7 linked regions of the Coturnix japonica genome follow. The protein of the gene in region 1 interacts with the protein of each later gene in a pairwise test. Links are inferred from orthologs where the notes say so. Each region holds a gene or a part of one and is shown in the gene's direction. Other genes may lie near its edges.

What was found.
Region 2: the proteins of AGTRAP (region 1) and TBRG4 interact in binary tests that used the Homo sapiens proteins (3 or more experiments, as listed by UniProt). The two-hybrid records come from large-scale screens. The link is inferred for Coturnix japonica from reciprocal best matches to the Homo sapiens genes AGTRAP and TBRG4.
Region 3: the proteins of AGTRAP (region 1) and PITPNC1 interact in binary tests that used the Homo sapiens proteins (3 or more experiments, as listed by UniProt). The two-hybrid records come from large-scale screens. The link is inferred for Coturnix japonica from reciprocal best matches to the Homo sapiens genes AGTRAP and PITPNC1.
Region 4: the proteins of AGTRAP (region 1) and PTPN9 interact in binary tests that used the Homo sapiens proteins (3 or more experiments, as listed by UniProt). The two-hybrid records come from large-scale screens. The link is inferred for Coturnix japonica from reciprocal best matches to the Homo sapiens genes AGTRAP and PTPN9.
Region 5: the proteins of AGTRAP (region 1) and PBX3 interact in a two-hybrid assay, tested with the Homo sapiens proteins (4 studies listed by BioGRID). The two-hybrid records come from large-scale screens. The link is inferred for Coturnix japonica from reciprocal best matches to the Homo sapiens genes AGTRAP and PBX3.
Region 6: the proteins of AGTRAP (region 1) and ACSF2 interact in binary tests that used the Homo sapiens proteins (3 or more experiments, as listed by UniProt). The two-hybrid records come from large-scale screens. The link is inferred for Coturnix japonica from reciprocal best matches to the Homo sapiens genes AGTRAP and ACSF2.
Region 7: the proteins of AGTRAP (region 1) and MIEF2 interact in binary tests that used the Homo sapiens proteins (3 or more experiments, as listed by UniProt). The two-hybrid records come from large-scale screens. The link is inferred for Coturnix japonica from reciprocal best matches to the Homo sapiens genes AGTRAP and MIEF2.

The regions. Positions count from the first base shown.
Region 1 is NC_029536.1:4,903,981-4,908,008, reverse strand, and holds the start of AGTRAP (type-1 angiotensin II receptor-associated protein), read left to right. Parts: upstream 1-1,228; 5' UTR 1,229-2,320; coding exon 2,321-2,431; intron 2,432-2,705; exon of another isoform or gene 2,706-2,905; intron 2,906-4,028. UniProt on the Homo sapiens protein: Appears to be a negative regulator of type-1 angiotensin II receptor-mediated signaling by regulating receptor internalization as well as mechanism of receptor desensitization such as phosphorylation.
Region 2 is NC_029517.1:3,562,580-3,566,738, forward strand, and holds the start of TBRG4 (FAST kinase domain-containing protein 4), read left to right. Parts: upstream 1-1,359; 5' UTR 1,360-1,431; intron 1,432-1,863; 5' UTR 1,864-1,904; coding exon 1,905-2,333; intron 2,334-2,740; coding exon 2,741-3,058; intron 3,059-3,431; exon of another isoform or gene 3,432-3,573; intron 3,574-3,835; coding exon 3,836-4,007; intron 4,008-4,159. UniProt on the Homo sapiens protein: Plays a role in processing of mitochondrial RNA precursors and in stabilization of a subset of mature mitochondrial RNA species, such as MT-CO1, MT-CO2, MT-CYB, MT-CO3, MT-ND3, MT-ND5 and MT-ATP8/6. May play a role in cell cycle progression.
Region 3 is NC_029533.1:7,047,882-7,051,984, forward strand, and holds the start of PITPNC1 (cytoplasmic phosphatidylinositol transfer protein 1), read left to right. Parts: upstream 1-1,303; 5' UTR 1,304-1,844; coding exon 1,845-1,892; intron 1,893-2,554; exon of another isoform or gene 2,555-4,103.
Region 4 is NC_029525.1:1,988,089-1,992,169, reverse strand, and holds the start of PTPN9 (tyrosine-protein phosphatase non-receptor type 9), read left to right. Parts: upstream 1-1,281; 5' UTR 1,282-1,296; coding exon 1,297-1,455; intron 1,456-1,614; coding exon 1,615-1,758; intron 1,759-1,832; coding exon 1,833-1,922; intron 1,923-1,996; coding exon 1,997-2,121; intron 2,122-2,578; coding exon 2,579-2,684; intron 2,685-3,147; coding exon 3,148-3,258; intron 3,259-3,439; coding exon 3,440-3,768; intron 3,769-3,901; coding exon 3,902-3,995; intron 3,996-4,081. UniProt on the Homo sapiens protein: Protein-tyrosine phosphatase that could participate in the transfer of hydrophobic ligands or in functions of the Golgi apparatus.
Region 5 is NC_029532.1:8,212,710-8,216,824, forward strand, and holds the start of PBX3 (pre-B-cell leukemia transcription factor 3), read left to right. Parts: upstream 1-1,315; 5' UTR 1,316-2,177; coding exon 2,178-2,374; intron 2,375-2,411; exon of another isoform or gene 2,412-2,566; intron 2,567-2,593; exon of another isoform or gene 2,594-2,891; intron 2,892-3,020; coding exon 3,021-3,094; intron 3,095-4,115. UniProt on the Homo sapiens protein: Transcriptional activator that binds the sequence 5'-ATCAATCAA-3'.
Region 6 is NC_029533.1:9,091,188-9,095,351, reverse strand, and holds the start of ACSF2 (medium-chain acyl-CoA ligase ACSF2, mitochondrial), read left to right. Parts: upstream 1-1,364; 5' UTR 1,365-1,429; coding exon 1,430-1,491; intron 1,492-4,164. UniProt on the Homo sapiens protein: Acyl-CoA synthases catalyze the initial reaction in fatty acid metabolism, by forming a thioester with CoA. Has some preference toward medium-chain substrates. Plays a role in adipocyte differentiation.
Region 7 is NC_029529.1:5,099,115-5,103,232, forward strand, and holds the start of MIEF2 (mitochondrial dynamics protein MID49), read left to right. Parts: upstream 1-1,318; 5' UTR 1,319-1,418; intron 1,419-1,852; 5' UTR 1,853-1,858; coding exon 1,859-2,005; intron 2,006-2,479; coding exon 2,480-2,669; intron 2,670-3,424; coding exon 3,425-4,118. Other genes in the region: FLII (protein flightless-1 homolog), read right to left, coding at 1-53, 579-689, 1,188-1,250. UniProt on the Homo sapiens protein: Mitochondrial outer membrane protein involved in the regulation of mitochondrial organization.

The DNA.
Region 1 (4,028 bases):
TCCAAGGCCTGTTTGTGGCTTGGTTGAGAACGTGTGAGTTCAGATCCCCTACTGCAGACAACCTATACATAACCTTGCACTGCACTGCTTGAACTGGATGTGGGACTGAAGGGTGACTCACACATTTCCACATCCAGCTTCTGCAATGAACTTCTGGCTCCTCTCTCATTCTTAGAGGCCCTGTCTTAAAAGTAAATTACAATAAAGAAACCAACCCAGCAAAATGTCATAATCTGTCTGTGAAATGTCATGCTCTGCAAATGGGTCATGCATATACTGGGCAGGGAGGGTTGGAGAGGGTCACCCTTACTTCTTGGTTCTGCTATCCTATTGCTGTATGTGGGAAGAAGATGGCTGTTATAAACAGGGCAGGAAAGGAATTCATAGCTGTACACTGTGGGTTGGGGTTGGTCGTTTAGTTAACAACTTCCCCAGCTCTAAAATGGGAAAAGCCTTCAGAACAAGAGGCGAAGGAGTCCCAATTCTGAATCATAGGCTCCTTAAGGATGGGGAAGAGCTCTGTGATCAAGTCCAACCCAACCCACCCCACTATGCCCACATCCCTCAGTGCCACATCTCCACACTGAACACCTCCATGGATGGTGACCCCATTGCTCCCTGGGCAGCTGCTCCTTCTTTATTGTCCCTAATACCCAACCTGCACCTCCCCTGCTGTGTCTTAAGGCCATACTGTTGCTGTTACAAAGTTCAAGGGCTGAGCCCACCTTGCCACAACCCCCTTTCAGGAGCTGTGAGAGCAATGAGGTCTCTCCCCCAGCCTGACCCATCTCCTTCCCTCAGCTGTTCCCCATAACACTGCGCTCCCACACACAGCTCCATTCCCATCCCTGGACACACTCCATATCCTCCATATCTTCCTCGTCTAACACCTCACAGCCTGACAGCTGAGACAAAAACCCCAACGAGGTTCCCCTCCATGTTGGGATCCACCCCCGGGGCAGGGCGCTGAGGGAGGCGGTGTCCCGGCCGCTCCCGCCTTCCTTCCCTCCTTTGGGCGGCCCCGGGGAGCAGCCCCACGGTGGGAGTCACGGGGCGGGCGGGCCGCTGCCATGGAGCTGCCTGCCGTCAGCCTCAAGGTACGGGGGGGGATATGGGGCAGAGCCTATGTGGGGCTGAGCTGTTGTGGGGCGAGGTGGGTCGGCTGGGAGAAAAGAGTACGGGGGTGGGCGTTGAGGCTGGTATGGTGCCTTGTGTGGAGGCGTGGGGGTGTTTGTGGAGGGAGAAGTGGCTGTTTCTGCCTTTTGTGGAGGGGTTTTTAGTAGGGGTTGTCGCCCAGGTGGGCCCCCCCTCGGCCTTCTACCTCCCAATTCCCCCCTCCATCCCCCAACTGTGATCCTTAATGGGTTTCTGAGGAGGCGAAGTTGGTGCTGGTCAGGGAACTCACCTCAGGAAGGTGACGGCTTTGTGGGCTTGTATAGACCGACAGAAACTGCTGTTCTGTGTTTTAACTTAATTTCTAGGGGGGGAGGGCGTGGAATGAGGGAGGCTGTAAACTTTTGTGCGATGTTTAGTAGAGAAACGGGAAATAAAAGGACTTCGGAAGTTACCCGTTAACTTCAGGAGGAAGCAGCTCCTCACACAGAGGCTGAAATCGGCCCCCTTTGCTCTTCATGTTGCTCGTGAGACTGAAGCCTTTTAGACTCTTTCCCCTGTTTTTCCTCCATTAGTTATACTTTCAGAGCCTTCTAGGGTGATGTGCTGCTTGTTTCCCAGCTTCCCTGTTGGGGTTTTGGGTGCGTTGCTGAAAGCTTTGCAGTTTGGTTGCAGGAGCTAGAAGAAAAGAGATGCTTCATGAATGAACGAGTCACCATGACAACATAAGTAAAATGTTGCATTTCCTCCCTGCTTTTTAGCAAGCATTCTTAAATCTCCTCCTGGGTAAGAGTGATTTTGACCTGGCCAAAGTGTTCTCAGCATTGGGAAGTACCTTTTGTAAAGTACTGGTTAGGGTGGTGTGGTGCTGAAATGGGTTACCCAGAGTAGTTATGGATGCCCCATCCTTGGAGTCATGTTGGATGGGCCCTGAGTTAGTGATTAGCAGCCCTGCCCATGGCAGGGCATTGGATCCAAAAGATCTTTCAGGTTCTCTCCAACCTAAGCCATGCTGCGTTCTGGGATTCAAGGGCTGTAACACAGTGAGTTAATAATTGTCCTGCATCTTTGTGCTGTCTCTGAGTCGTGGCCTACTGCTCTGAAACACAACCCAAAGGTTGGCAAGGTTCTCATTCAGAGAGGGATTGGGAATAACACACTACTTCTATGCATTGGCGTTAACTGGTTACAGTTTCTCTGTGATCAGATGGATAAACCTAATGACAGAAGAAGAAAACTTCCAAAGACCTGCGTGAATGCAGCATTTGTGCCAGATTGTAGCAAAGTCTCAGCCTTGAGGTCCCTCTTTAACCCGCAGGTAGGACTGTAGCATTAATATGGCAGGCCTTGACCTGCAGTAGATGAAGAATTCACTCATGGAGCAGCATCTACTGGCTCAGCTCTGGTAGTAATGCTCAGCAAAGTGTGGAAAGCAGCATCACCTTATTATTGCAGTGAGTGTTTGATGGCTAGGATTGTTGCAATAGCTATTCTGAATCTTGAAATATCAAGTTTGCTTGAGCTTGGAAAAGGCCCTACAATGAATATGCCTGAAATCAGATGTTTTGTTCTCGGGTGTTTTTATGTGCTAGCTCTGGAATCCTAGCATCATTTTGATTGGAAGAGACCTACGTATGTCACCTAGCCCAGCCTCCTGCTCAAAGCAAAGCTAACTTGAAAAGTAGATCAAGTAGATCAACTCAAAGAGTTGGCAACCACTTTGGAGATTATCTAGTGCTGCTCCCCTGCTAAAGCAAGCACCCCAAAGGAGGCTGCAGAGGAAAGCATCCAGGTGGGTTCTGAATACCTCCAGGCAGGCAGAATGAGTTCCTGTACCAAAGAACTCTTCAAAAAAGCAATGTATGCTCTTAGGTATGGATATATCCCCCTGAACAGATGGGAATGAATTCTTCTGTCTCACCAGGAGGCTGCCTGCAAATTATCTCACGTAATGACTGCAGCTTTAAATAATGTTTTTCATTAACACTCCGTTTTCTGTGTGAAAGCATACCGAGACCATCAGCCAATTCCATAGTGCCCTGAAGAGCTGTCAGATAACTCAGACTAATAGCTCGGAAGGAAATGCTTTGTTTTTCTTCCAGCAGCCCCCTGGATTACCAGCCCTTGCTTACCTGACGTTATGCTGGTGATGGAGCCAGCTTCTTAATTTAATAACTGCAATATTGATCTAGACAGCTTAATATATATATATATATAATAAAACCCACTCTGCGTAATTATATTAACTGCTGAGCCTTGAGGGGTCTTGTGAGTGCATAACGTGCAATTAAATACTACCTAATTAAGAATTTCCCTGATGTTGTGATCGTCTCTTGGGTGAATGCTATTTGCATGTCTCCGTTCTTATCCAAGAACATCTTGTATTTTCCTGATTAGCAGTTTCTGCCTGGTCTCTGCGGTGCAATCTGGGAGGAGGGGGAAGCAGCGGGTGGTGCTGGAGCATTTTGTAGGCTTTCATGAGCAATTAAAAAAAATAGTCATTATTAAAAACCTGTTTGAGCAGCGTTTGATGTTCAGGCGGTCTGTGCTGAATGCTCAGCAGATGTGATAGGGTGCTGCAGTGCAACCAGGGCTTTGCCTTATGATAAGATATCTATGTTGTGATATCTTGGCTGGACAGTCCAAGCCATTGCAGCTGCATCGCTCCTTCTGGTTTCACTCACGTCACAGCTTCATGGGTCATTAACTTTCCTGAAGCCACGAGTTCTGTGTGAAGTTAGAGCAGGTGTAGACATTTTGAGTCAATAAATGTGACAGTATTTGGGCACTAGTGTTGTCCCTGGAAGTGAAAAGAGTGGTGTAGCATGGCAGGATTGGGTCTTTAGGTTCCTAGAAGATGACTTCAGGTCTGTTAATATTGGAGCGAGGCAGGTTGGAAGGGGGTAAAGGGGAAT
Region 2 (4,159 bases), on another chromosome or scaffold:
CTCAGGGGGAGCAGCCACAACGCGGCCGTTATCTGTGGGGGGAGAGCTGTGGTGGGGACGTGGCTGTGCCCATGGGATGTGGGGCCTCATCCCACATTGGGCTGTATCTACACCCCCAGCTGTGCTGCAGGATATGGAGTCGGGGGCTGGAGGGCTGGATTGGTGAGGAGCAGCTGAGGGCAGTGGGTTTGTTCAGCATTGAGACTGAAGGGACGCCTCATAGCAGCCTGGGGTCATTTCCAAGCTCAACATCACCGTGTTCTCACAAGAAAGGTGGCTGGAAGCCAGTCATGGCCCAACACGGGGAATTCTCTTCAATGTTTTATTGAGAGATGGTTCAGCAAAGGGTCAGGTTCCCACAGAGGTTGCAGCACGGTCTCTTGCTTCACAGCTGCTATTCATAGCAAGAATGAGCACTTACAGCTGCTACCTGTATCAGGAATGAGCCCTTACAAAGATCACAAATCACACAATCACTAAGGCTGTAAAAGACCCCCGAAACCCCCAGCTCCAACCCCAGCCCATCCCACCATGCCCACAGCACTCAGTGCCACATCCCCATGGTTCTGAACACCTCCAGGGTTAGTGACCCCACCACCTCCCTGGGCAGCTGTGCCAATGCATCACAGCTCTGAGTTGTGCCCTATATCCGACCTGAACCTCCCCTGGCACAACCTAAGGCCATTCCCTCTCATCCTATCACTGTTACCTGTGAATAGAAGCCTACCCCCCCACCACAGCTCGGTCTCCTTTCAGGGAGCACTAAGGCCTCCCCTCAATGCTTGGAAGGGCTCTTACAGCCCACCTATGTTCCACCATCCTTCTGGATGTTGTGTTGATGAATATGATTTAGCTGGGAAGTATTGGTAACGGTTGGACTAGATGATCTTCTAGGTCTTTTCCAACCTTGATAATTCTGTGATTTCTATGGTCACACATCACCTCCTACAGCCCCATAACCACATCCAGCTCAGTGATGAGGGCTCCAAGGCTGTGACACCGCCCTGATGCCGAACCTCAATGTCTTCTCTTTACATTTACAGCTGTTCCCTTTGTCATTCCTCAGCTGAACAAACAGCCCTGGGGTGGGACGTACCCAGAACATCAATCTCCTTTTATTTGCCTTCAGCCAAGTGTTGCCAAAGCACCGCCCCAGCCTCTGTTTGCTTCCCCCCGTTCCCACAGCCGGGCCCGGGGCTGTGACCTGCCTAAATCTGATAATCCTGGACCCGTCCCCTCTATACAACCCCCCTCACAAAATGGCGGCTCCCCCTCAGAGCCGAACCGGAAGCGTTTCCTCTTTCCCGCTCGATTCTCTCAAGGAACTCAGCCAATAGGAAGCAGCTGTGCGTGATGATGTCATCAAGCTGCGCCGGCGCTCATGCGCACTTCGTCTCATTACCGGGCCAGCGTGCGGTGGGGCCGGGTGAGGTCAGAGTGGACGGAACCGGTTCGGTGACACGGGGGGTTCGGTATCGGGGTTCGGGCTCTATACAGGCCCACAATGGGGTTTACAAAGGGTTGAGGCCTCGGGAGCCGCTGAGGGTCCGGTCCAGCCCGTCGGGCCGGGAGCTGGGGCCGGTTCGGCCCACGGGGCGGGTAGGCCCAGGGTTCGTGTTGTAGTGGGTTTCTATGGGGTGTTATTCAGTGTTCAGCGATAGGAGCCGCCGCGCTGAGTTATAATGGCTGGACATTGTGACCTTGGGGCCATCTCCTAATTAAAGTGATATGTGGGGCTGCCCCTTTCAGTTCTGTTCTATGGGAGCGCTCATAGTGCTTTTGTCATTCCCTTTTAAACCTGTTTGCTCTCCTCTTTCCCCCCCTGATATTCCCGTTCTTAAAGCCTTTCTTTTCCTCCTCCAGCATCCCCCAAGATGCGGCTTTGAACCCTTTAAATCCCCACCATGGCAGCCCGGCTGGTGCAGCGCTGCTGCTGGAGGCACCTCACCACCTTCACTTGTGCTCCTGCTGCCGCCCCGGCCGCTCTATTGCTGCCTAATGGGAAGGTGCCAGCAGCCAGAGCTCTGCCACATACACCTCTAACCTCCATCCACACCTCCGTCCCCGTCACCTGGAGTGCGGACAGATTCTCTGTCAAAGAACAGGTGGAAGAAAACAGTAACTCGGAGCACAGAGCCATGCTGAACCTCATCGAGGCAGCCGTGAGTCCTCAGGAGCTCTTCCAGCTGGGTGAACTTCACTCTCTTAATAGCAACCAAGCTTCGCTGGTGGTTACACGACTTTCCAGGCTTGCGGTGGAAAAGAAGCTGGAAACGAGGGACATTGTGCGAGATGAACGATTTCAGCAGCTTATTGAGATCGTGGATTCTCAGGTGAGCTCCTTCCTTGTGCTGGAGGTTGGAGAACAAATGGGTGTGGGACAGCAGCGAGTTGCAGCCTTTCTCTTTCCCTTGTGTATTGTCATAGCTGCCACCTAGAGATGTATCAGCTTCAGGTCGCACACAAGTAAAGGGTGCAGGTGTTTGTGGTTCAGTAGAGTGCACCCCAGAGCAAGGAGAGTGACCCCAGTGCTGGAATTGGGGCAGTCAGGGCAAGTTAAAGAGTCTGTTTGCTGGATGCCACCTGGTCCATCCTGCCCTGAGCATCGTTGGCTGTGATTCTGCCTCTTGTTTCACTGCTCACTGAGCTCATATTCCAGCCACACCACAAAGGGAATTTAGATACACACACCTCCAGACAAGGGTAAATATCTACTTAACTATTTTCACTTGCCTTTCAGATATCTCAGGTGTGGAATAACACCTTGGTGGGCCTCCTGAAGAGCCTGTACTCGCTGGGGATGGAGAGCAGCAGCAGGGAGATGCAGTCTGTGGAGCACGAGGTGCTGTGGAGGTTGCGGCGTCTCACCTTCCGTCAGCTCGCCTCCTTGGCTGAGTTCTTAGCTGTCAGACAGGACAAGGAGAGCAAACTGCTCAATGAGATCGTCAAGAAGCTGGAGCTGAGATGGACGGAGCTGGAGGGCACCCGAACCGTGGTGATGCTGATTGCTAAGGTTGGCCATATCTCATCAGTGCTGATGGACCGGTTAGAGGACAAGGTATGGGCTTGGGTGCTCCGTTCCCTTCGGTTGGGACATCACCTGAAGGAACATTTCCCTCTCACACATGGGGAGCTCACACATGGGCTGCGTTGGTCTGAGCTGCTCAGAGATGCACTGGGCTGATGTGCTTTGCCTCGCAGCTAGAATTACCTTAGCTCTGTGGTAGAATTACCTTAGCTCAGCTCCAGGCGGTAACTTGCAGCGGCAGCATAACAGCACTGCCAAAAGCATTGTCCTCTGGCTCTCTGTGAAAGTCAAGCTGTGAGCAAGGAGTCTGCAGGGAGGTCTGTTCTCCAGCAGGTCCCTCTTTTTAACACTACCAGGAGCAGGGAAATGTCTGTTGGGTTGAAACTGCCATAAGAACCATGACTGCAGCTGAGTCAAATTCGGTCCTTATCCAGCCCAGCGCTGGGGACCGGCCAAACAGCTGCCACAGCAACAATCCCTGCAGCTCATGGGCCCCACTGTTGTTCTTCCTCAACCCTGGGGATAAAATATTGCTGCAGACACTGAATGTGGTGTTGTCAGCTTATGCAGAGCTGGAACTACAGCTGTTGTCAAATGGAAACAGGAGTTCCAATGGGAAGCAGGGTTGTGATTCAGCAGCCTTTCCTGCATCAGTTGTTACATGACAGTGTTAAGGTGTATGGAAACCCTGCAGTCCTTGGAGGGGCTCAGCCAGCGATGTCCTGGGGGATGGCACATCCTGATCTATACAGAGTGTCTGTATTTTCCTTTGTGCCTTTATGTCTTCAATGTTTTTCATGTTACCAGGCTCTGGAGCTTGCTGAGCAGTTCAGCCCTGAGGACATAAGGAAAATCACTCTGGCTCTGGCATATCAGAACCGGCGCAGCGTCCCTCTGCTCCGTGCCATGTCGTACCACCTGATTCAGAAGCACTCAGAGCTCAGCCTTAGTGTCCTGATGGACCTGATTTTTGCCTATGGTAAGCAGCTTGGGTGTATCGTGACCCTTTATTACTGTGCCTGCATAGGTCAGAGAGCCCTCTGTGTGGCAGCACTGTACTTAGTGTGGGGCTGTTCCTCGCTGCTCTTACCCCTGAGAGCAACCCCTGTTATCATCCTTGGTGCTTTGATT
Region 3 (4,103 bases), on another chromosome or scaffold:
TTTGGTTTCCATTTGACTTAGCCTGGCTTCAAGGCACCATGCAAAGTTCAGTGTTCACAGTGTCTTGCAGTAGGAATCAAGGTGATTCTGTTCCCCCCAGTTAATCTAACTAATAAATCGCTTAAAATTGAGTTCAACGTATTAGATCTGAACTTGGATCTCCTCTATAGGTGATACATAGGTGATATATAGGTGATATATAGGTGATATTAGGGGTACTGCCTCATTTGGGCTATTGCATAGAAGTTTCATTAGTACCAACGTGATGGATTGTGAGCACAAACTGGGTGTTTACAATTGGACGGTGTCAAATTGGAAGCAGAAAACATAAAGCACGTTGTTCAAAGCTCATGTGAGAACCCAGCTGGCAGCACAGCTCCTGGGTTTTCTATTGCTTTGTGTGGGCGGTTCTGCTCTGCTGGGAAGTCAGGGCGTGTGAAATACGTGCCATTAATGGAACGGAGTGGAAGAGTTATATTGTTAGCTCCAGGAGATGGCACTGTGTCCTGTGTGGGCTTCAGATGATATACATCGCCTTGAAATCTACATTCAGAGCCAATGAAAACCTGGGGGGGTTCTGCTCTTGTTATGAAATGCGTTTCATGGTAGACCTCAATTCGTGTCCAACTGCCCTAAATATGGCATTCAATCGCTCGTATCTTTGCAAATAAATTAGATGTAAGTGCACCTTCTGCCATTGTGCAGTGCTTTGTGTTTCGTGCTGCAATCACAGGGCTTCCCTGCGAGCTGCTTTATGGCCATTCCATTGATAGGAGCAGCAATGTACACTTGGCATGATTAACTCCGTAATGTAAGCACTCGGGTTTCTCAGATGGCTTCAGAGTTGGCTGCCCGTGTGTTGAGAGATGTCAATTAGTAACAGTGTATCTGAAACAACAAAATCCCAGTGGACATGGTGACATTGTTCGATTGGGAAGGAGGCACTTTGTCCCTGAACTTTACATGTGGCGTTTGAAACAACCCAAAGCAGTTTTTATTTGCGCAGCCAACTCGGCATTGCTGATAGCGACGGGCTGACCAGAAGGGAAATGGGTGAGGCCTTCACATCCTGTGCTGTATCTCCCCTGCTGCTTTTCTAACAGGCTGAAGCTCTCGTTGTGCTGTTGTAGTGCGGCCGGCACAGCCCCATGTACCCGCGGTCCCCCCGTCCCATCACACCCCCCGTGTCGGGCCGTTTAAATCCGCCCCATTGGCGGCTGTTGCCGCCCTCCCTCCTTCCTGCCGCGCCGTGATGTCAGCCGCTCCCCCGCCGGGGCCGCCGGCTCCATCCAGGCCGGCCGCCTCCCGCCCGCCCCCAGCCGCACCGCGGGGCCCCGCGGCCGCCGAGCGCTGCCCCGAACCCAGCGGGAGCCGCGGCGGACGGGGAGGAGGCGGGAGCCGCGTTCGGCAGCCGGGGGAGGAAGCGGCAGAAAAAAAAGCCTTTGTGTCGGAAATCGGCGTCGCGTGTCTCCCGCTTTGGCCGGGCTGAGAGCAGCGAGCTCGGCTCGGTTGGTCTTTTCGCCGCCCCGGGCATGTCTTGACATAGCAGAGAGAGGCCGCCGCTTTCGCGCACTTCCGACGGATGTCTTTGAACGTGCGACGGGCGCTTCGGGTTTGAGACTTTGTAGAGCTCCGTGCGTGTGCCAAATTCACATGATCGCGGGTTGAACGAGGAAGAACGGCAAGAAAGGAGCCGTTGTGCCGCCGATCTCCGCCGGGTCCGCCCCGCCCGGACGGTCTCGGGGCTGCGCGGGGAGACGAAGGCGATCGATCCGAGCGGCCGCCCCGCACTGCGCGGCACTGAGCGCTTCTCGGCCGGCAGCTCCGCACCGACACACGGGAATATGCTGATGAAGGAGTACCGGATCTGCATGCCGCTCACCGTGGAGGAGGTAAGCTGCGCTCGGCTGATCCCTGGCTCTATCTCTACCCGGGATGTTGGGGTCGGCTTCGCTGCGGGCGTTCGTTCGTCCTTCATTTGTGTGACAAACTTGGGCTGCCCGGAGCGGCATCTCTGCGGTGCGGGATGAAGGGGATGAAGGGTCCTGCGGCAGCGGAGCTGAGTGGAGCGTGTCAGGAGCGTTAGTGCCCGGCCATCAGCTGCAAAGCTCCAGCAACACAACGTGTGAGCTGTTTCGAGGGAGCGCTGTGCGGTCACATCCCGACCTGCGGGAGGTTTATCCGAAGTCTGCGTGCTAAATACATCCTCACCTTTGCTTAAAATAACCTTGCGGGTGGCAGTCGCGCAGGTGGGGTGTCATCTGTTGACAAAACTTTTTGAGTTTGGATTATGTTTTGCTTTTTGTTTTGGTCACGGTTGGGAGTCACAAACTGCTTTATCTCCGTGTTCTGAATTCACGTTCGGAACGTTGCGTTTGATTTATAACGCGGGGCAGCCCGCAGGGTGCCCACAGCCGCCAGGGGACGCTGTGCCCGCAGGTGCTGGAGCCTCTCGCTCTAAAGAACATTCCCAGTTTGCAAAGGGACTCGTGCTGCTTCGGGTCTCTTTGACGTGGAATCTTGCAAGTATTAAATCCAGGAACTGCAGGTGAGATGGCCTTGTGAGGGACATGGGGTGTGTCTGACACATGGCATGAATTTCGTTATTAGTTGTACAAATAAACTATGACAAAACTTTGAAACTTTCATGCTTTTTCTTTTTGGCATTGTTTGCCCATCAAGCATTTCCTATGAGGTGCTGTTCACTGCTGACTGAACTGCTTTTGTATTCTGAGCTAGGAGGCAGAAACAGCTTTGTTCCTCTTCCCTAAGCACCAACATGGTTGTTCCAAGAGCCCCTGCAGAGGTGCTGGGACACTGGGCTGTAGTTCCCATTCAATTCTGAGGCTCATTCATTAAAGGGAGCTTTTATTGACAGTTTTTTAAAGTCTGTTACATATATATTGTTGCAGGTTCCCAGCTTAGCCTTGAAATAATTTTGTGAAAGGAAATATTATGTGAACTTCCAAACAAAATGACAAAACTACTGGAAGAACTGTGCAGGTTAGGTCAGAACATTGCTGTTGGTTGAATAACCCAGCAATGCTGCCAATTGGAAGTCACTCTGTACTTCAGTTGTGGTACTACTGGATTGCGTGCATGCAAATTCACTCCTTTTGTTAAAACTGAGACCTTGCAGATTACAAAAAGCCATTTCTTTTCAGTCATATGTAAAGCAAATGAAATCTATTGCAGTAATTGCTTGGGACGTGTTGCCAAACTTCAGCCCAGTTGCAATTAATGAATGAGGCTGCTTCTTGATGAATATTTTTCCTCTTGCATTTTCATTTATTAGTTCATTCTTACAAATAGTTACATCATATGAGTGAATATCATAAGGGTGTGCATTATGTTGGCTTTATTAAGCATCATCTGATGAAAACATGTTCCGTAGCAAGTGAAAGGAGCACCAAGTCATCGAGAGTAGCAAAGGTGCTAAAAAATTGTCCAACTCTTTCTCATTGCAAGTCATAATTGCGTAATTCCTCATAGGAAGGATCATATGGTTGTGTGCCATAGAGGTGCCTTTGTGTGAGATCTGCCAGGTTGGCATGTTAGTGAGCTTCTTTTGGGGGAGGTGAAGCACGGTGCAGTTGATTTATGTGGAAAGTGATATTCCTTAGGGGGAGGAGGAGGAAACCATTTCTGCTGGATCATGTTGGAAGAGGAGCTGTCTGCTGTAAAATGCTAATAAAGACGTGATGCTGGGATGCACATATTTTGAAGCTGAATGCAAATTACAGTAATGGTCTTTTTATTTTTATTTTCCCATTAGAATGGGATGGGTTAGTTCTGATCTCTGTGTTTATAGGTAGTATCTAAACAAATGAAAACCAACCAAACAAAACCAGGATTTCTTTCCTTTGTTCTTTATCTCGAGCAAGATTATCTCTGCTGAAGTTGGTGGAATCGTGCCCATTGGATGCTGTAAAGACAAGCTCAGTGAGTTCTGTGGGCAGTGCTGCCTGAATGAGCCGTGCAGGAGCAGCTGTGCTGTCGGAGTGCAAACAAGCAGAGACCTGCAAAGTGTTCTTCAATGGGGATTGTGATTTACACCGAAGATCCTTTTAGCACTGGGAAATGGTGGCCTGAGGGGTGCTGCG
Region 4 (4,081 bases), on another chromosome or scaffold:
GGGCTCCGCTCGATGGCCGACAGCACGCTGATGGTTCCCGTTCCTAAAGCAGCCCCCGGGCCGGAGAGAAAGAAGGGCGAAGAGGAAGCGTGCGTTAGGAGCGGGGCTGTGGGGTGGAGGTCAGCCCCACAACGCTGCCACCGCGCTCGGGGCAGGGGCCGAGCCGCTTCTCTCTGCCCTTTCTTCCATTTTCTGCGAGTTAGGTGCAAACCCTCCGGCTGCGGGCGAGCTGCCAACGCGCTGCTCCTCGGCCGAACAAAATGTCCCCGGCTGCGGAGCGCGGACCCCCGGCCCTGGGACGGCCCAACCCTCCCCCCAACCGGGGCGGTGCCACCCATCCCGAGCGGGTCCGGCTGGTCGCTACCCGGGTGGCAGAGCCCGGGACCGGCAGCCCCCGCCCCGCCGCGCTTCCTGCCCGCCCCTCCCTCCGCCGTCGGGCCGGGCGCAGGGGAGGGGGCTGCGGGCGCTTCCTGCCACCGCCCCCGCGGGGCAGCGCCGGGCGGAGCGGAGCGGGGCGGGGAGCGGCGGCGGCCCAACCCCCAGCCGAGCGGCGCTTCCCGGGGCGAGCGGAACTTCCCGGCGCTTTGCGATCCTTACGGCGTTTTGTTGGTTTTTTTTTTTTTCCCTTTTCTTCCTATTTTTTTGTTTTCATTTGAATATTTTCATTTGCGTTTCGTTCTCGTTTTCTTTCTTTCTTTCTCTTTTTTCAATCTCATTTTCTCCTTTCCTTTCTTATTCCGTTTCCATTCCTCTCTCCATCTATATCCCATCTCCTCCATTCCCTTCCCATCCTCTCTTCCCTCCCCGCTCACGGTCGCGGACACCCCGGGGCGGAGCCGCCGCCGCCGTCTCCGAGCGGCCGCCAGGGAGGGGCGGGTGCCCGCAGTGCCGCCGCTCCGGGGATGGGCTCCGCCGCTTAGCACGGCCCGCACGGCCCGGCCGCAGCATGGCCGCGGAGCTGAGCGCCGAGGAGGAGCAGGTACGTGCCGGCCGAGCTGCGAGCACCGGGCGGCGGACGGCTTTGCTCCCCCCTGCATCCACGCAGCCTCCGTCTGCCCCTTATCCGCTCCATCCGCACGCCCCCCCACCCATCCCCGTTCCTTTCCGTTACGCATCCCCTCTGCTTCATCATCTCCATCCCCGGCTCTCCCGCAGGCTCTACCCCGCCGCCGTAACGGAGCCGCCGCCCCCCTTGGTGCCCGTGGGGCTGTGCGGGGCTGTGTGCACGCTCTTCCCACGCCCCGCACCTCCCGTGACGTCCCGGCTTCCTCCCCGGCCGTGCGTCACCGCGGGAGGATGTTGCTGGGCTCGGGAGCGGGGCTGGCAGCCCAGCATCGCCCTGGGATGTGCGGGTGGGAAGGGGGGCTGTCCCACAGCTCGGGGATCTGGGACGCAGCAGTGACGCAGGGCTTTGCTTCCTTTCCTCTGCCCGCTTTATCTCTAGAAGGTGGGCAGGTACATCACATTTCGGGGCGCATCTGGTGCTGGCCCATCTGACATCGCTTTGGGTCGAGCCAAGTGCCAGCCTTGTTCTGCCACCTAGTTCTTCCCCCCCATTAAATTGCCTTTGGGGAGTCCGGGGGATGCTAATAGGAATGTCCTTGTGTCCTGCAGGCCACCAAGCAGTTCCTGGAAGAGATCAACAAGTGGACGGGCCAGTACAATGTGTCCCCGCTCTCCTGGAACGTGGCCGTCAAGTTCCTCATGGCCCGCAAGTTCGACGTCCTACGGGCCATTGAGCTCTTCCACTCCTACCGCGTATGTCAAGGGGGTTTGTGGGCTCACACATCCCTGTGTGTCATACTGGGGGTCACACTGTGTTCCCACTGCAGGAGACGCGGCTCAAGGAGGGCATCGTGAAGCTGAAGCCTCACGAAGAGCCGCTGCGTTCAGAGCTGCTCAGTGGGAAGTTCACCATCCTGGTAGGTGCATGGGGTGGCAGTGCACAGTGTGGTGCTGCCTACAGTCATGCCATGACCTTGCTTTCCTCCTGCAGAGCGTTCGGGACCCTTCAGGGGCATCCATTGCCCTGTTCACGGCCAAGCTGCACCACCCCAGCCGCAGTGTGCAGCATGTGGTGCTCCAGGCGCTCTTCTACCTGCTGGACAGGGCCGTGGAGAGGTGAGCTCTGTGTTCTGCCACTGCCTTGTGTTCTGGATGCTGCTTTGTTGTTGCTCGCAGCCCAAGCTCTGTTAGTTCAAGTAGCCTATAAGCAGCAGCTCGCCCTATGTTTGCATGCCAAGGATTGATGACAGCCCGTTTAGAAGCCTTCCAGGCATGGCAAAAATCAGTGGCATCCTTAAGGCGTCCGCATGTGCCTCGTGTTACTGTGCCGGGGATCTCCGGCCCTTGGAAAGCCCCGGCCGTGGGAGCCCTGCTGGAACACTGAGCCCAGTCACCCCGTTCCTATGGCTGGGCTTTGTCTGTGGGCTGACACCATGTACCTGGGATGGGCTCAGGGTGGGGGAGAGGCAGCTTCGGGCTCTTCATCTCACTGGGAACACAGAGGAGACTCTTCTGGGGTCACTGAGGGTGCGTCCATGATCTTGGAGTGGTGCTGCTTTTTCCCCCTGCCCAGTTTCGAGACACAGAGGAATGGGCTGGTGTTCATCTACGACATGGCGGGCTCGCAATACACCAACTTCGAGCTGGACCTCAGCAAAAAGATCCTCAACCTGCTGAAGGTAACGACGGCAGGGATGGGATGGGGCAGGATGATGGGATGGGGGGGGATGCAGGAGGTTGGGTGCCATCCACAGCCCCTCGGGGGGAGGCTCAGGCACTGGGAGGGGATCAGCTGTCCCCACGCGCTGGATTCCTCACACAGCTGCTGGCAGCTCTTTCATGAAAACAGATGCAAATTATTTTTTAATGGTGCTGGCATTTCGTGCCTCCTCCCTTCTCCGGAAAAATAGCTCCCAGTAAATAGCAGCTGGGGCTCAAAGCCCTGCTCCCGCCCTCACCGCTGCCTCATCAAGCCCAGCCCTCTGCTGGCCACATGGAAATCGATGTGGACTGGAGCATGGACTGTGCTGGGAGCTGCTTTGCTCCAGGACCCTGCGGTTGTCATTGCTGTGGGGCCACGCTGGGTGTGGGTTAGTCCTGCAGCGTGGAGCCGAGCCGTCCCTGAGCCCTCGCTGTCCACAGGGCGCTTTCCCAGCGAGGCTGAAGAAGGTGTTCATCGTGGGAGCACCCATGTGGTTCCGCGTGCCCTACTCCATCATCAGCCTGCTGCTGAAGGAGAAGCTGCGTGAGAGGGTGAGTGTGGGGGCTGCAGGCTCCTGGGGGCTGGCAGCTTTAAAAGGGAAAGAAAACGAGCCACGTGGGAGAAGATAAACTTGGTTGCTGCTTGGAACAATATGCCCGAAGATCTCTGCTGCTTGAGCTGAGGAGAGCCCTCCTGCCGGCTGAGCTGAGTGCCCATGCCTGTCCTCTGCAGGTGCAGATGGTGAAGATGTCGGAGCTGAAGGAGCATTTGCCCCGCGAGTGCCTTCCCGAGACCCTCGGCGGCTGCCTCAAGCTGGACCCGCTCAGCTGGAACTGCCGCTTCCTACCGCAGCAGAACGGGCACCCCGACCCCTTGGATGAGCTTATCCTGGTGCCACTGGTGACCCCTCGTGACAACGGCTCGCTCCACGTGCCCGGCCCCAAGGCTCTCACCCCGCAGGAGCTGCTGGAGCACGTCAGCCGCAAGCAGAAGCGCGGTATCTATGAGGAGTATGAGGACATCCGGCGCCGGAGCCCGGCCGGGACCTTCGTCTGCTCCTTGTGAGTTGAATGGGGTGGGAGGGGCAGCGGGAAACTGGTGCACGCTGCTCCCGGGACTGCAGCCAGGTGATGGCAGCAGAGCCCCGGGCATTGCCTTGGGATGCCCTGCTGCCCTGCCCTGTCTCTGCCCCAGGGCGCCCTACAACCAGGAGAAGAACCGTTATGGGGACGTGCCCTGCTTGGACCAGACCCGCGTGAAGCTGGCCAGGCCCTATAGCCGCCCTGAGGTGAGCCCCCATTGCATTCCACCAGCCCATCCCTGACGCCCAGTATCTGGGTTCTCACTCGCTTTGCTTGCTTGGAGCTGAGCCCA
Region 5 (4,115 bases), on another chromosome or scaffold:
GGAGCACACTGCTGTGCTGTGCTGTGCTGTGCTGTGCTGTGCTGTGCTGTGCTGGGATGTGTGCGGGATGGAGCTGCGACTGAACCGCCCCTGAAGGGCTGTGCTGCTCTACTACAGCACGGCTGTGTCTGTGGAGCCTCACACTTGGTGGACAAATGTAAGCTGACGTGCAAAGTATTCGAAATAATGAGAATAGAACAGCTCTTTGGAGCAGCAGTTTTAATAAAGCTGGATGACACTAAGAACGCGATCATTCATACCAGAAAATGTCTCAGTAATGAAGATGGAAGATGTTAGAGAATGTTCTAACTACCTGGAGGAACAGTAAAAGTGTTGAACCCGAAATAGCCAGAACATCCCCCACGGGACGTGGAGAGGAACCCCACGTCAAACAGGGGACGTCGGAGTGATGGTGCTGAGGGGAGGAGACGTGGTGGTGTCAGCTGTGATAGCAGCGGGAGCTGTGGAGGAACATGGAGAGCTCTATTGGCCACATTGATCCTGTGCCATCAGCTGCACATCCAGGAGATGTTGGGGAGAGGTTTTAGTTTGGACATGACTTTTATCCGGAGCAGTCCGTCACACAGAGCGCGTCCCCGCCGAGCGCGGCTCCAATTCGTGCCGGGGCTTCACAGCGCCGAACCGAGACTGTGTTAATGCCGTCACACCGCGCAGCGACAGCCAGGCATGGCCGGGCAGGTGAGGGAGGCGCGGGGCCGGCGGGATGTGCAGGTAACACGGCGGGAGCACGAGCCGCTGTTTGTTCTGTACACACGTCACATCTGTGACAGCCCCGCGCTGTTTGCTATGGAGCTGAGGGAACCCAACTTCGTAAAGCTCCGAAGCTCCGTCCCCAAAGCTCAGCGCTCTGAAACCGCCCACGCTCTGGGCGCTGCCCCGTCCCGTCCCGTCCCGTCCCGCCGCGCGGTGCTGCCGCGGTCCCGTCTCGGTGCCGGCGTGTAGCGGAGGCCGGGGCGCTCCCATAGCAACAGAAGGGGCGGGGCCGGAGCGGCTTTCGTCGGGGCCACGTGACCGTTCGAACGGCCCAATCGCAAGTTTCTCGGCCGAGGGGGCGGGGGCTCCGCGGGGGCGGGCGGGCGCGGCGCCGCGCCTCTGTCGCCGATTGGCCGGAGCGCCCGCCCGCGGCCGCGCCGATTGGCCGCCGGTCCCGCCGCTCCGCGCGGAGCCCGCCCCCCGGGGAGCGCCGCGGCTCCGGGCCCGGCGGGAGGGCGACCCCGCGGCGCGGGGCGGGGCGGCGGCGGACACGCCCGATGGGGCGGGGCGGGGCGGGAGGGGCGGCGCGCTGCGGGGCGGGGCGGATCGGCTCGTCCTGTGGCTCGTCCGGCGCTGCTCACAGGGTGACACGTCTGCGGGGTGAGTGAGTGGCATTGGCAGGCTGTCAATCCCTCACCGGAGCGGCCATCAAACAACATAAAGCACACACAGTCACCGGGCGGCCGCGCTCATAAATCCCCGCCGGCTGATATTTTTGCACGTTGCTTCGCACACAGTGTGTAATTAATTTTTTTACAGTTCTTTCCCCTCGATTTCCGCTCTTTTCTTTGCGCGAGTTCAAACTTTGCTCCTCGCCGTCCCCCCGCTCACCCGGGATGGTTGGTGATTTTTGGGGGGAGGGCATTAATTTTGCTCGTGTTTTGGTGCCGTTTTGATGTGTCGGTCCGGGGCCGCTCGGCTCGTTGTGCTTTTTGCTCTTTGCCCTCCCAACTTCTGCGGGATCTGAATAATCCAACTTTGGGCATTTTGTCATTTTTTATTTTTTTTTTACTTTTTTTTTTTTTTTTTATTTTGTTGCCTTTTCGCATAGAAGATTCTTTGGACAAAGTGGGGAAAAGACATAGAAAGCAACAATAAAAACAATAATAGCAGAGGATAACAATCATACTACTGCTCATAATAAAACGCTGTGGAGGAAGATCGCTCCGGGGACAGGCAGCGGCCCGGCACAGACATGGTGCTGACGGGAGAAGACTGTAACTAAAGAAGAGTGATTTACCGCGCCGGGGAGAACAGCGCGTTTCCAGCCGCCGCCGCTCCCGGCACCGCCGCTCCTTCGGCCGCCGTTTCCTTTTGGTGTTTTTGCCTTTTTTTTTCGCCTCTCGCCGTCGCGGAGCGGCGGGGCCGAGCCGGGGCGCTCAGTGCCCCCGCGGCGCGGGGCCATGGACGAGCAGTCCCGCATGCTGCAGACCCTGGCGGGCGTCAACCTGGCGGGGCACTCGGTGCAGGGGGGCATGGCCCTGCCGCCTCCACACGGACACGACGGGGCCGACGGCGACGGCAGGAAGCAGGACATCGGGGACATCCTGCACCAGATCATGACCATCACCGACCAAAGCCTGGACGAGGCGCAAGCAAAGTTGGTGTCGTCTCGTTACGCCTTGTCTGTCGGCGCGCGTGGGGCGCGCAGCTCCGGCCCGGGAACGCGGCCGGGACAGAACTTCTGGCGCCGGAGGAACCGCCGGGCGAGCGGGGCGCGGCCGGAGCGCCGCTGAACGCCGCTTAACGCCGCTGAACGCCTCGAGCCGAGCGATAAACGCGGCAGCGGGAGGTGCTCGAGCCGGCCCCGTCCCGTGTCCGTGTGTCCGCGGGCCCCGGGCCGGGCCGCAACTTTCCGCGGCGCTGCCCCGTGCCCGGCGCGGCGGGAGATGGATGGCGGCGCCGAGCAGACACCGCCGCGGGGGGAGAGAGCGGCGGCCGTCCTAAATCACCGCCCTGCGAAACAAAGCGCGGCCCGGCCCGGGCCGCTCCGCAATAAATCAGCCCCGGACGGCGCTGATTTACGCCGCGCGCAGCGGGGCCCGGGCCCGGCCCGGCGCTGAGAGGCGCCGCCGCGGTGTGGCACGGAGCAACGGCCCCGCTCGGGCCCGCTCCTGGTGCGGGCCGGGGCCGGTTTCGGGGCCGGTTTCGGGGCCCGATGCCGGGCTCTGCGGGCGGCCTGGCGGCGCGGCGCGGCGGGCGCCATGTTCGCGTCGGGCGCTAACGCTGTGTGTGCTCTCTTGCAGGAAGCACGCGCTGAACTGCCACAGGATGAAGCCCGCGCTCTTCAGCGTCCTCTGCGAGATCAAGGAGAAAACAGGTAAGGGCCGGCCCGCGCCGCAGCCATCTTGAGCCCTCCTCCGCCGCGCCTCGGCGCTGCCGCCCGCTGCTCGGCCGCGGCCCTCCGCCGCCTCCGGGATGCGCCCGGCCCTGCCCTGCCCTGCCCGCGGTACCGGCGCACAGCGGCACCCGGCAGCGCCCGGCCCGGGCCCGGATCCGCCGCGTGCAGCGCCGGCAGCGCCGCGAGGGAAGCGCTGGAGAGGGACGGGCAGCGCCGAAGTGACGGATGCGGCCGCGCGTGCAGAGCGGCTCCGGCTCCGGCTCCGGCTCCGCGTTGGCAGCTGCGGGCGGCGGGGTTTGAAACACTGAAATGATGGTCACAACAACGTTATTTTCCGTGCAACATTAATGAGACGGGAAGGAATGTCGCGTTTGTCTCGAAGGCGTTTGAAGGGATTTTTGCAAATTTCTTACATCGCTGAATTTACAGAGATTTTTTCTTTTTTTAAAATAAGACAATTTTGAAAAATATCGTACTCTTCATTGTGACAATAAGGACTTTTTTGACTTTTTTTTTTCTTTTTTCTTTTTTCCTAATCTGGCCTTAAAACTGAACACCTGCACTCGTTTGCTTTTTAGCTGTATTTGGTGCTCCATTGCAGCCCTCTTAGTTGCAAGCTGAAAATCTGGGGTTATAGAGGTTAGCAGCCGCCTCGTGCACGCAGCAGAGCCCAGCTGAGCTGCCCGGTGCGCGGCTGTCGGTGCAGTTGGTGCGTGTTGTGCACGGGCTCCTGTGCCGCCGGGTCCCGCTTCAGCTCTGCTGACGGCTGAGAGCTGGATATCGGCTGCGCTGCAAATATTAAGATTGATTCCACGTTACACTGCGTGACATTACCTCAGATAAGGAGCGCGATCCTCTCTGCCTCCCCCCTGCCTGCGCGGTGTCCCTCCATCCGCGGCTCCTGTTTGTTTTCCTGCCCTGAACTTTGTGCCCGTGCAGCGGTGCCGGCAGCGGCCCCTGCTTGTGCTGAGCCGGAGCGGCCGTGGGTCCTGGGTCCTGT
Region 6 (4,164 bases), on another chromosome or scaffold:
GTTCTTGTCCCGGGTGACCCACGGCCAGAAAAGTCGGTGGAAGAGTTTTTCCTGAGATAGAACCAAATCAGAGCTCCCCAGTAACGGGATTATGGTGAGGACAAGCTTTGAGTTTCTGAGCCCAAACACGCATTGTGACATATGTGCACTTACTTGTTCAGAGGGCAGATCTGTGCTGGGGACAGGAGGTCTTACACCTCTTTGTTGTTTGTTTGTTTTTATCACGGACACTGATTTTTGTTTTCCTCTGGTTGCAATCAGCATTTCATGATGAGGTTGTGCTGTGAGCATATTTTATAGCTTTGATTTCTGAGATTCTCTGCAGCCAGTGTTGATGCCCTTGTTCATAAGATCTGTTGTGCATCTCCCATTGCTGAACTCTGGTGCCCATCTGGGCAGAGGGGTTGCAAAATGAACTGCTAGTGATCGTCCTGCAGGTCAGTGGCTGGGTGAGAATCAGGCCACCTCTCAGCCCACTGCTGGTGGCACCGCCTGGTTAATGGCCGTGTGATGTTTGAGACACAGGTTACCTTCTGGTACCACATTTATACCCCGGCTCCCAGCAGTGCCCAGAGTCCATCAGTCATTTGCTACAAGGAATGCCATGCACGCCAGCCCTTCTGCGCCTGTGTCAGTGCTGCCGTGTGCTGCAGGGCTCCTCTGGGTGCTGCCTCCCCCTTCCCTTGGCGTGCCCAGCTCTGCATCTCCTCACTGCTCTGTTTGCATGTGGTGGGGCACAGACAGCCAGGGAGTGCTGAAAGCTGTTAGTGAAGTGGTAACTGTGATAACTCATGTGAATAAGGCTTGAAATCAATTAATGACTCATAGAGCTCTGACAGATGCAGAAAACCAGAAGCAAGCAGCGCTGGTTGCCTTGTCAATTTCAGTCCTTGTAGCAAAGTCCGTGTCAGCCAAGGCACTGGGTTTGCTTGTAGGGTTCAGGGCGGCTGCAGCGTAGTGCTTGAGGCTGGGATTGAGCAGAGGGACATTGCTGCAGGGCAGGGAGCTGGGAAGGGAAGCGAGCAGGGCGGCGGGGTTCAGTGCTGTCAGCAGCGAGCCAGTGGCCGGGAAGGAAAGGAGGGATCCCGGGAAGCCACGGCCGTGCCCTGGGACACGCAGCATCCCCGTCCCCCATTGCTCTAATGGGATACCTCACGCAGAGAAGATTCTTTGCAACCTGCTCTACCTGGCAGTGGTGGGGGGCGGTGAGTAGGGGTCCCAGCTCCCACCCCCACTCCTTCCTCCGGGGCCGGGGTGTTGCGGGGCGAGGCCGGCCAAGCCAAGCCCTGCCCTCCCCGGGGCCAGGCGAGGCCAAACCGGGGCTGAGGAGGCCGGGCCGAACCGTGCCACGCACCGCCCCCACCGGAGCCGCGTACGGAGCGGAGCGGGAAGGTGGCCCGGCCCCCCCGGTTCTGCCATCACCGCACACATGGCTCCAGCCGCGCTGCTCGCAGCTCTGCCCCGCCGCGGGCTGCTCCTCCTGCGTGCGCGGTACGGACGGGGCTGGGAGGTGGGGGGGAGGGGGGGAGCTACCGGGGGCCGGGTGCAAGGTGAGGGGGATGGAGGGGACGGGGGGACTGCGGGGCCGTGCAGAGGCTGTTGGGCAGGGCGGTGCGGGGCCGGCGGGGCCGTGGCTCCGAGCTCTGCAGCTGGTCGGCTCTTGCTTTTGTTTAACGCTGCCTTTTGAAACGAGCTCCTGGGAAAAACGGCGACGGGAAAGCAATTGGCTTCGGAGATGCTTGGAAGGATTAGTTGAAATTCTGCCTCTAATCCTACCCGGAGGCGCGACTTCTAAGAAGTAGCAGGGTTCGCATGCAGGTAATTCTTTTCAGCTGCGCTGTGATGGGGAGGTACCGTCTCAACATCTGTTCTAAAGAGGATCAGGAGGGCAGCAGCACAGAACGCTGATTGCAGGTTGGACTCCAGCCCAGCGTTCCGGGTGAAGCTGGGTGGCAGGAACCGTGACTCGCACCGAGTATTGAGAATAAACTTTCTAGTAACGTGAAGACGCCTGAAATTCTGCTCTTAGCACTGAGCGGTACTTGTGCTTTGGGCAGAACCAGCGCAGGAGGGAAAGGCTCACACGGGACAGCACAGCCGGTCTGCTGGAATTGAAACCCGAGCACTCTGTGAACACTCACCATCCCTCTGACTAAAGTCAACAAACACAAAGTAATCAAACGGTGATTAACCTCGCAGCCAACTGCGCTGCGTTAAAGAGCAAAGAAGAGGTGAAGGCAGCGCCGAGCAGTGCCGGCTCACCACTCTCCTTGCAGTTGCTTTATACAAAAGACCCAGAACTCGTTGCTCTGGGAAGGTGGCCGTGTCAGATCTGCACGAATGAGGAGCTGCACGTGGCGGCCCGGAGCTTCCCCAGGTCCGAGCTCTGCAGTTGGGTCGGTTCCGATCCACGTGCGCGGTGCAGTGAGCTCACACCGCCCTGAGTGGTGATTCCTGCAGAGATGGGAAAAGATGAGAAATGAATCTGGTTATCTTATGTCAGCGGCTGTAAAACCTTGGCTAGGGTTAATCACACGCAGCTCCTGGGGCTGATCCAGACTGCTTTATAAGGTTTGATGGGTGCCTGCTGGGTGGGAGCGCTTTCTGGGCCGGCTGTGATCCGTCTGCTGGGTTGGGATCTGTGTGTTAAGGAGTGAGGATGAGGCCCCGGAGCTTTTCTGTGCGGGGGAATTTCTGGGACTCGCATGAAGAGCTTTTCAGCTCCTTCTCATATTGAAAACCAGCCCTCATACATGGGCTGTGGGGATCTGACCCCTGTGAGGTTCCCCCCCCCCCTCAGGGCCCCCACAGGCCTGGGAGGAATCGGGCAGTTCTGTTCTGCCCGCTGTGGGTGTCTCACCTTCACTGGCAGCAGTGCAGGGCTGTGCATGCAGCTCAGGAGGGCAGGAAATCACATGGATCACACTGTATCAGCTGGAGGGTCTGGATTTCAATTGAACATTCTCCACTTTTCTTTCTGCTTTTTGTTTTGTCTGCCCCGTGCTGAGGGAACATGTGAGACCAAATGTGTTTTTCTACCCGGTTGGTAACGGTTCCTTTGGGTTGTGTCCCAGGAGGGTCGCGGTCTATGAAAGCCTTGAGCAGCTCCCAGCACAGCACAGCTCAGAGCCTGCTGCGCTCCAGGTGACCCCGGTGAAAGTGCTCTTGCACAAGCAGGTCGGCTTTGCTCGCTGACCCCCAGGCTCACCTGACCCCGGCTGACCGAGGGAGCTCACTTGTTTCTCTGCGCAGCTGGTGGGGAAATGTGGAGCGTCACCATAGAGATGAGCTCTGCTTCCACTGGAACTGGAGGTGCCCTGGCTATAGGGAGGTGTGAGCATTGCAGTCTCCAGTGATACCCTGCAGTTTGTGGTTTCCTGCTCTGACAGTGCGAGGTATGGAAGGGGCTTTGCTAAAACTGCTCCACAGCAACATGCTGACAGCTCACCATTTCCAGAGTGAATGGCAGGAACTGCAGTGCTTTTTATTGCCTCCCTAAAAACACTCATCTGTGGATTAGGGAGAGCTTTTTCAGCTCTTATCAAAGGCTTTTCTTCTGTGGAGCTTGCTTTCATCTCCTGGCCTTTATATGTGCCCAGCCCAGGAGTTCTGAAACAAAAGACAATTCTCTTTTCTGCTTGTTTGATTATATCCTCCCTCCTTCTGGGGCAGCCCTCAGAGCCGCAGTGTGAACTGCTGTACTAAGCTGTGGGAAGTGGCTGCCTGAACAGAGCGGAGCTGTGCTACTATTGCTAACAAGGAGTGTGGAAAGGGTCAGGCTGTGCTGCTCTGCTCTCAGCTCAGCTGCACCCAAGGGCAACAGCTCGACTTGTGCCAGCCAGGAGGCAGAACCCCACTTGGCAGTGGAAGTAACCCCATGTTAATCTTGTTTCTCATGGGCAGGAAAGCAAGTTCTAGGTTGCAGTTAGCACAAAGGCTTTGCAGAGCATTGATCCCATAACAAATGGGCAAAATTTGATCTCAGGGTGATCTGTTGTTTTGTTTTTTTTTTCCTCTGCCCCACATCTGTGGACAAAGGGCAGTGCTGCAGAGCCTGAAAGTGCTGCTTAACCCTGTCTGTCCTGGGAATATCCCAGAGTAGAGGAAAGTAGGTGAGAAAAATAAGGAGAGGACCCAGCAGGTGCAGAGTGCTGGTAGGGCTGC
Region 7 (4,118 bases), on another chromosome or scaffold:
GACAGCTCGCCATGAAGCGTGGTAAGGCTGTTGTGGCTGACGGACAGGTGCTCCTGTGGGGAATCAGGACAAAGCCCCAGTGAGTAGTGAGGGGAGCAGAGCTCAGCCCTGACCCATATTGGGCTGTTGGGGTCCCAAACTGGCTGGGGGGCTCCAGCATGTCCATAATATGCTGTAGGAACCACCAGAGCAAAGCTCAGCCATGGGCTCCACCAACAGCTACGCACAGAACTCGAGCTGCCAGGGAATAATTCCAGGCAGCTGCTGGCTGCTGCTTGTTTTTCTTTTTTCGCTTTTGCTAAGAGAGCCCAAACCTTTAATTCTCCCCATAAACTTTCACCCTTCCCTTCTATTAACAGGCAGAGGAAGAGAGTGTGGTTTCTGGTCTGGTTTTCTAAGAAAACAAGGTGAAACCCAGTACACATCAGCCTCAGCCCCTTTCCTAACAACTCCTGCATCCAATTTCAACCACACTTCCTCACTCAGCCCCTATTATTAGACGCTGGCACACGAGGCAGGCAGGCAGCAGGTTCTTGGCTGCGCAGCCCCCCCAAGTGCCCCATCCCCTGTTTGCTCACCAGCTTCTGCAGGGCAGCCAGCTCCTCGGGCAGGTAGCAGAGCCCTGTGTGGTTCAGCTTCAGCCAGCGCAGGCTGGTCATGGCCTTCACATGCTCTGGGAAGTAGCCACCCTGTGTGGGCATGAAGGTAAGAGAAACTGTATGACCCGTGGGGTGACAATGGAGAGACAGGGCTGGTGCTGTGGGGCTGCTGAGGGACAGATCACCCAGTATTATGGAGCTGGGGACTGGGATCACCCAGCCCCATGAGAACGAGATTTAAGGATGGGATTTAAGGACGGGAGCCTTATGGGACTGGGATCTGCAGACTGAGGTCACCCAGCCCTACAGGATGAGGACTGTGGGCTGACACCTCCCGGCCTTCCAAAGCCCCGCTCACACAGCAGGGCCTGCCAGGGTCACAACAAGGGCCGGGACTGACCGGCCCTAAGCGGGGACCTCGGGGATGGCCGGGCCTGGCGGGGAGCGGACAGGCCTGACAGTCCCTCCCATCCATGGCACTTCCGCCGGCTCTCCCCCCACCCCGCCCGGCCCCACACCGGGTACCGCCCCATACCGGGTACCGCCCTACACCCGGTACCGCCCCTACAGCAGGTGCCGCCCCCGCACCTTGAAGTCGTTACCGCTCAGGTCGACGCCGCGGACGAAGGGCAGCACCCCGGTGGCCGCCATGACAGCGGGGAACCCGGCGGGACGCGCCACCGCCCCAACACCCCGCCCCGCCCTGACGCTGATTGGAGGCGGGGCCAAGGAGCGCTGCGTTCATTGGCTGCGCTGCGAATTGCGGGCGCGCCGGCGCGCCAGCACGGGCTGCTGGTCCGCCCCGCTGGGAGCTGCGGGGTAAGTGGGGGGGGGCTATGGGGTGGGGGGTGAGATGGGCTCGGAGTTGGGGTTCGGAGAAGGAAATAACCGCGGGTAGTACCGTCAGTCAGTGGGGTTGGCTGTCCTACCTTTGTTTGCCCTTGGCAGCTCGGTGAAGGGGGCTGATTTTGTGCCGGCCCCTTCCGTGGTGCCATTGCAGCCCCCTCGTCCCGTCCCCATCTGTTGGCGGCCGGATCTTTATGGGGTGACCCTTGGTCCGGCCCGGCGCCACCACCGCAGCCGGCAGCAGCGGGATCCGTGGGCCTGAAGGTCGGCCGTGGTGGCGGCTGCCCCGCAGCTCGCGTCCCGCCGGGCTCCCCGCCTTCCCCCCATGGCCGTTACACGCCGGGTGTCATTACGGAGCCGGCTCCCCGCTGTCAGATCGCACCGCACCTTCCTCCTCCTTCCCGCAGGTGACCATGGCTGAGTTCTCGCAGCAGCGGGGCAAGCGGCGGGATGACAGCGGGCTGGGCAGCGTCCTGGACCTGCTGCTGGCCAACGCCAGGCTGGTGCTGGGCGTCAGCGGCGCGGCCGTGCTCGCCATCGCCACGTTGGCCGTCAAACGGGTGAGGCTGGGGGGGTGATGTGCCACTTTGCGTCCCAGAGACGTGCCTCGTTGTCTTCGGGAACCTGCGTGCATCTATGAGACTCCCAGAGCCATAGAAGAGCTGTGTGTGACTGTTACCCTGTCTGTGCCGTCCCCTCCCTGCTTTGGGGTGGGATGTGCTGCTGATTGAACAACGTGTCTGTGCAGGTTTTCCCTGTGGATCCTCCCTGGGTCTCTTTGCTCTCCCAGCAATAGCAGCCTTCTGTAAAGGGGGCTGCTGATCTCGGGTCTCCTCCCCCTCTGCCATCTGTAGCATCTCTCTGTGTTTGCATGAGCAGCAGCAGGTAGAGCATCCCCGTATGTGAACAAGGCTATTTGGGGCCTGTAGCTCTCAGTGCAGTTGGGATGGGGGAGCCCCCACTGCTTGTTCTCTGGGTGAGGTGAGGGTTTTGTGGACCACACACACATCCCCTCCATGTGTCTCTCCCACCAGCTGATAGATCGAGCCACGAGCCCTCGAGAGGAAGATGATCCTAAAGCTGAGCAGAAGAGCCTGGAGGAGAGCTGGCAGGACCTGGCTCTGATCAAGGCAACACCAAAACCTCCCAAGAAGCAGAGAAGGGAAGACCTGAGCAAACCCCTGCTCTCCCCGGCTCCACCACCAGCACCAGCTGATGCTTATGGTGGGTGCGTGTGGGTGAAGATCACCTTGGCTGGCTGTGCCTGTGCATGGGAGCTGGGCTTTATTTTTAGCTCTGTGACCGGAAAGCTGACCCGATTGTGTCTTCCCCCTTGGGAGGCTCCCAAGCTGCGGCCCCTTTTTTGGCAGTGCCTCAGTAGCAGCTCCTCTGATAACTGCTGGTTGGTTGGTCTGGTAACTCAGCCAGTTGGTTGGTAGAGGCTGCCTTGCCTTTGTTTCCTGTTGAACAGCGCTTGGTTTTTGGGTCAGCTCTGTCTAGGGAGGAAGATGTGCCTGTGAACTGCTGCAGACAAAGGCTGGCTTGTCCAGCTGGCTGCAAAGGCGGTGTTTTCTGAGTAGGAAAGCAGCCCAGCCTGGTGCTGGGCAGGTCCTGAGGCACTGCACCCAGAGTGGGATTGATTCAGGACTCAGCAATCAAGGAGCTGTTAGGGTAGGGGTGAGCAGTGGGGCTGAGCCTTGTGAAGGAGCCTGGTGGTTTGTGCTTTGTCTGGCTGCTGCTGTTTAGCTGGGCTTAGCCACCTCTAGCTGGGTGCTGTTGGGTTTGGGGTTTGGATTAAGCCCTGTGTTGGCTGGAAAGTGCTGTTATTCTGTGCCTCTCCTGGCAACATCAGCTTTGTGGCCAAAGGCTGAGAGCTGGGACTTCAGCACATGCTTTCTTTCTTTATGGCTGTGGCATGAGAAGATGTGTTGGCTGATCCATGACTTTTTCCTTGCCTTTGCCCCATCCCCTTATTGCAGAACCCAGGGTCTGCCCAGCGCCCCCAGAGCTTCCTCAAGTCGAGTCCAGCACTCCCTGCTGTCTCACACTGCAGGAGAAACTGCTGTCACACTACAGCATCCACCTCCCTATGTCTGAGGAGCAAGTGGCAGTTGCCCATCAGCTGGCCCGGAGCATTTGTGCTGAGCTTCAGAGCTTCTTACAGAACAAGTGCCCAGAGCTGCCCTTTGGCAGCCTCTTCCTCAGCGGTCCCCTGCTCGATGGCCTCGGAGCTCTTGCTGCTGACCACATCCACTTCATGCTGCCAGTAGTCCTGGATGCCACTCTCTGGAGCCTCATCCCAGGCGAGGACACCGTTGTGAGAAACCCCCAGTACTGGATGATCAAAAGGACTGACTTGGAGTATTTCCCTCGTGGGCGCAGCCCCTGGGACAGGTTTCTCGTGGGCCAGTACCTCTCCTCCAATGTGCTCAACGAGACCCTACACAAGATGTTGGTGGCCTCCATCAACTGGCCGGCCATCGGCAGCCTGCTGGGGACGGTCATCCGCCCGCTCGTGGCCTCCCGGGAGCTGAGGCTGGATGTCAAACACGATCAGGTTGAGCTGAGCATCGGCCTCTTCCCAGTGGTGGAAATGGAGGACAAAGTTCTTCTGGCCGCTCCTCCTGAAGGACTGGTGGAAAACCTCTGGCTCGAGAGCTTTGGCAGGGCGGA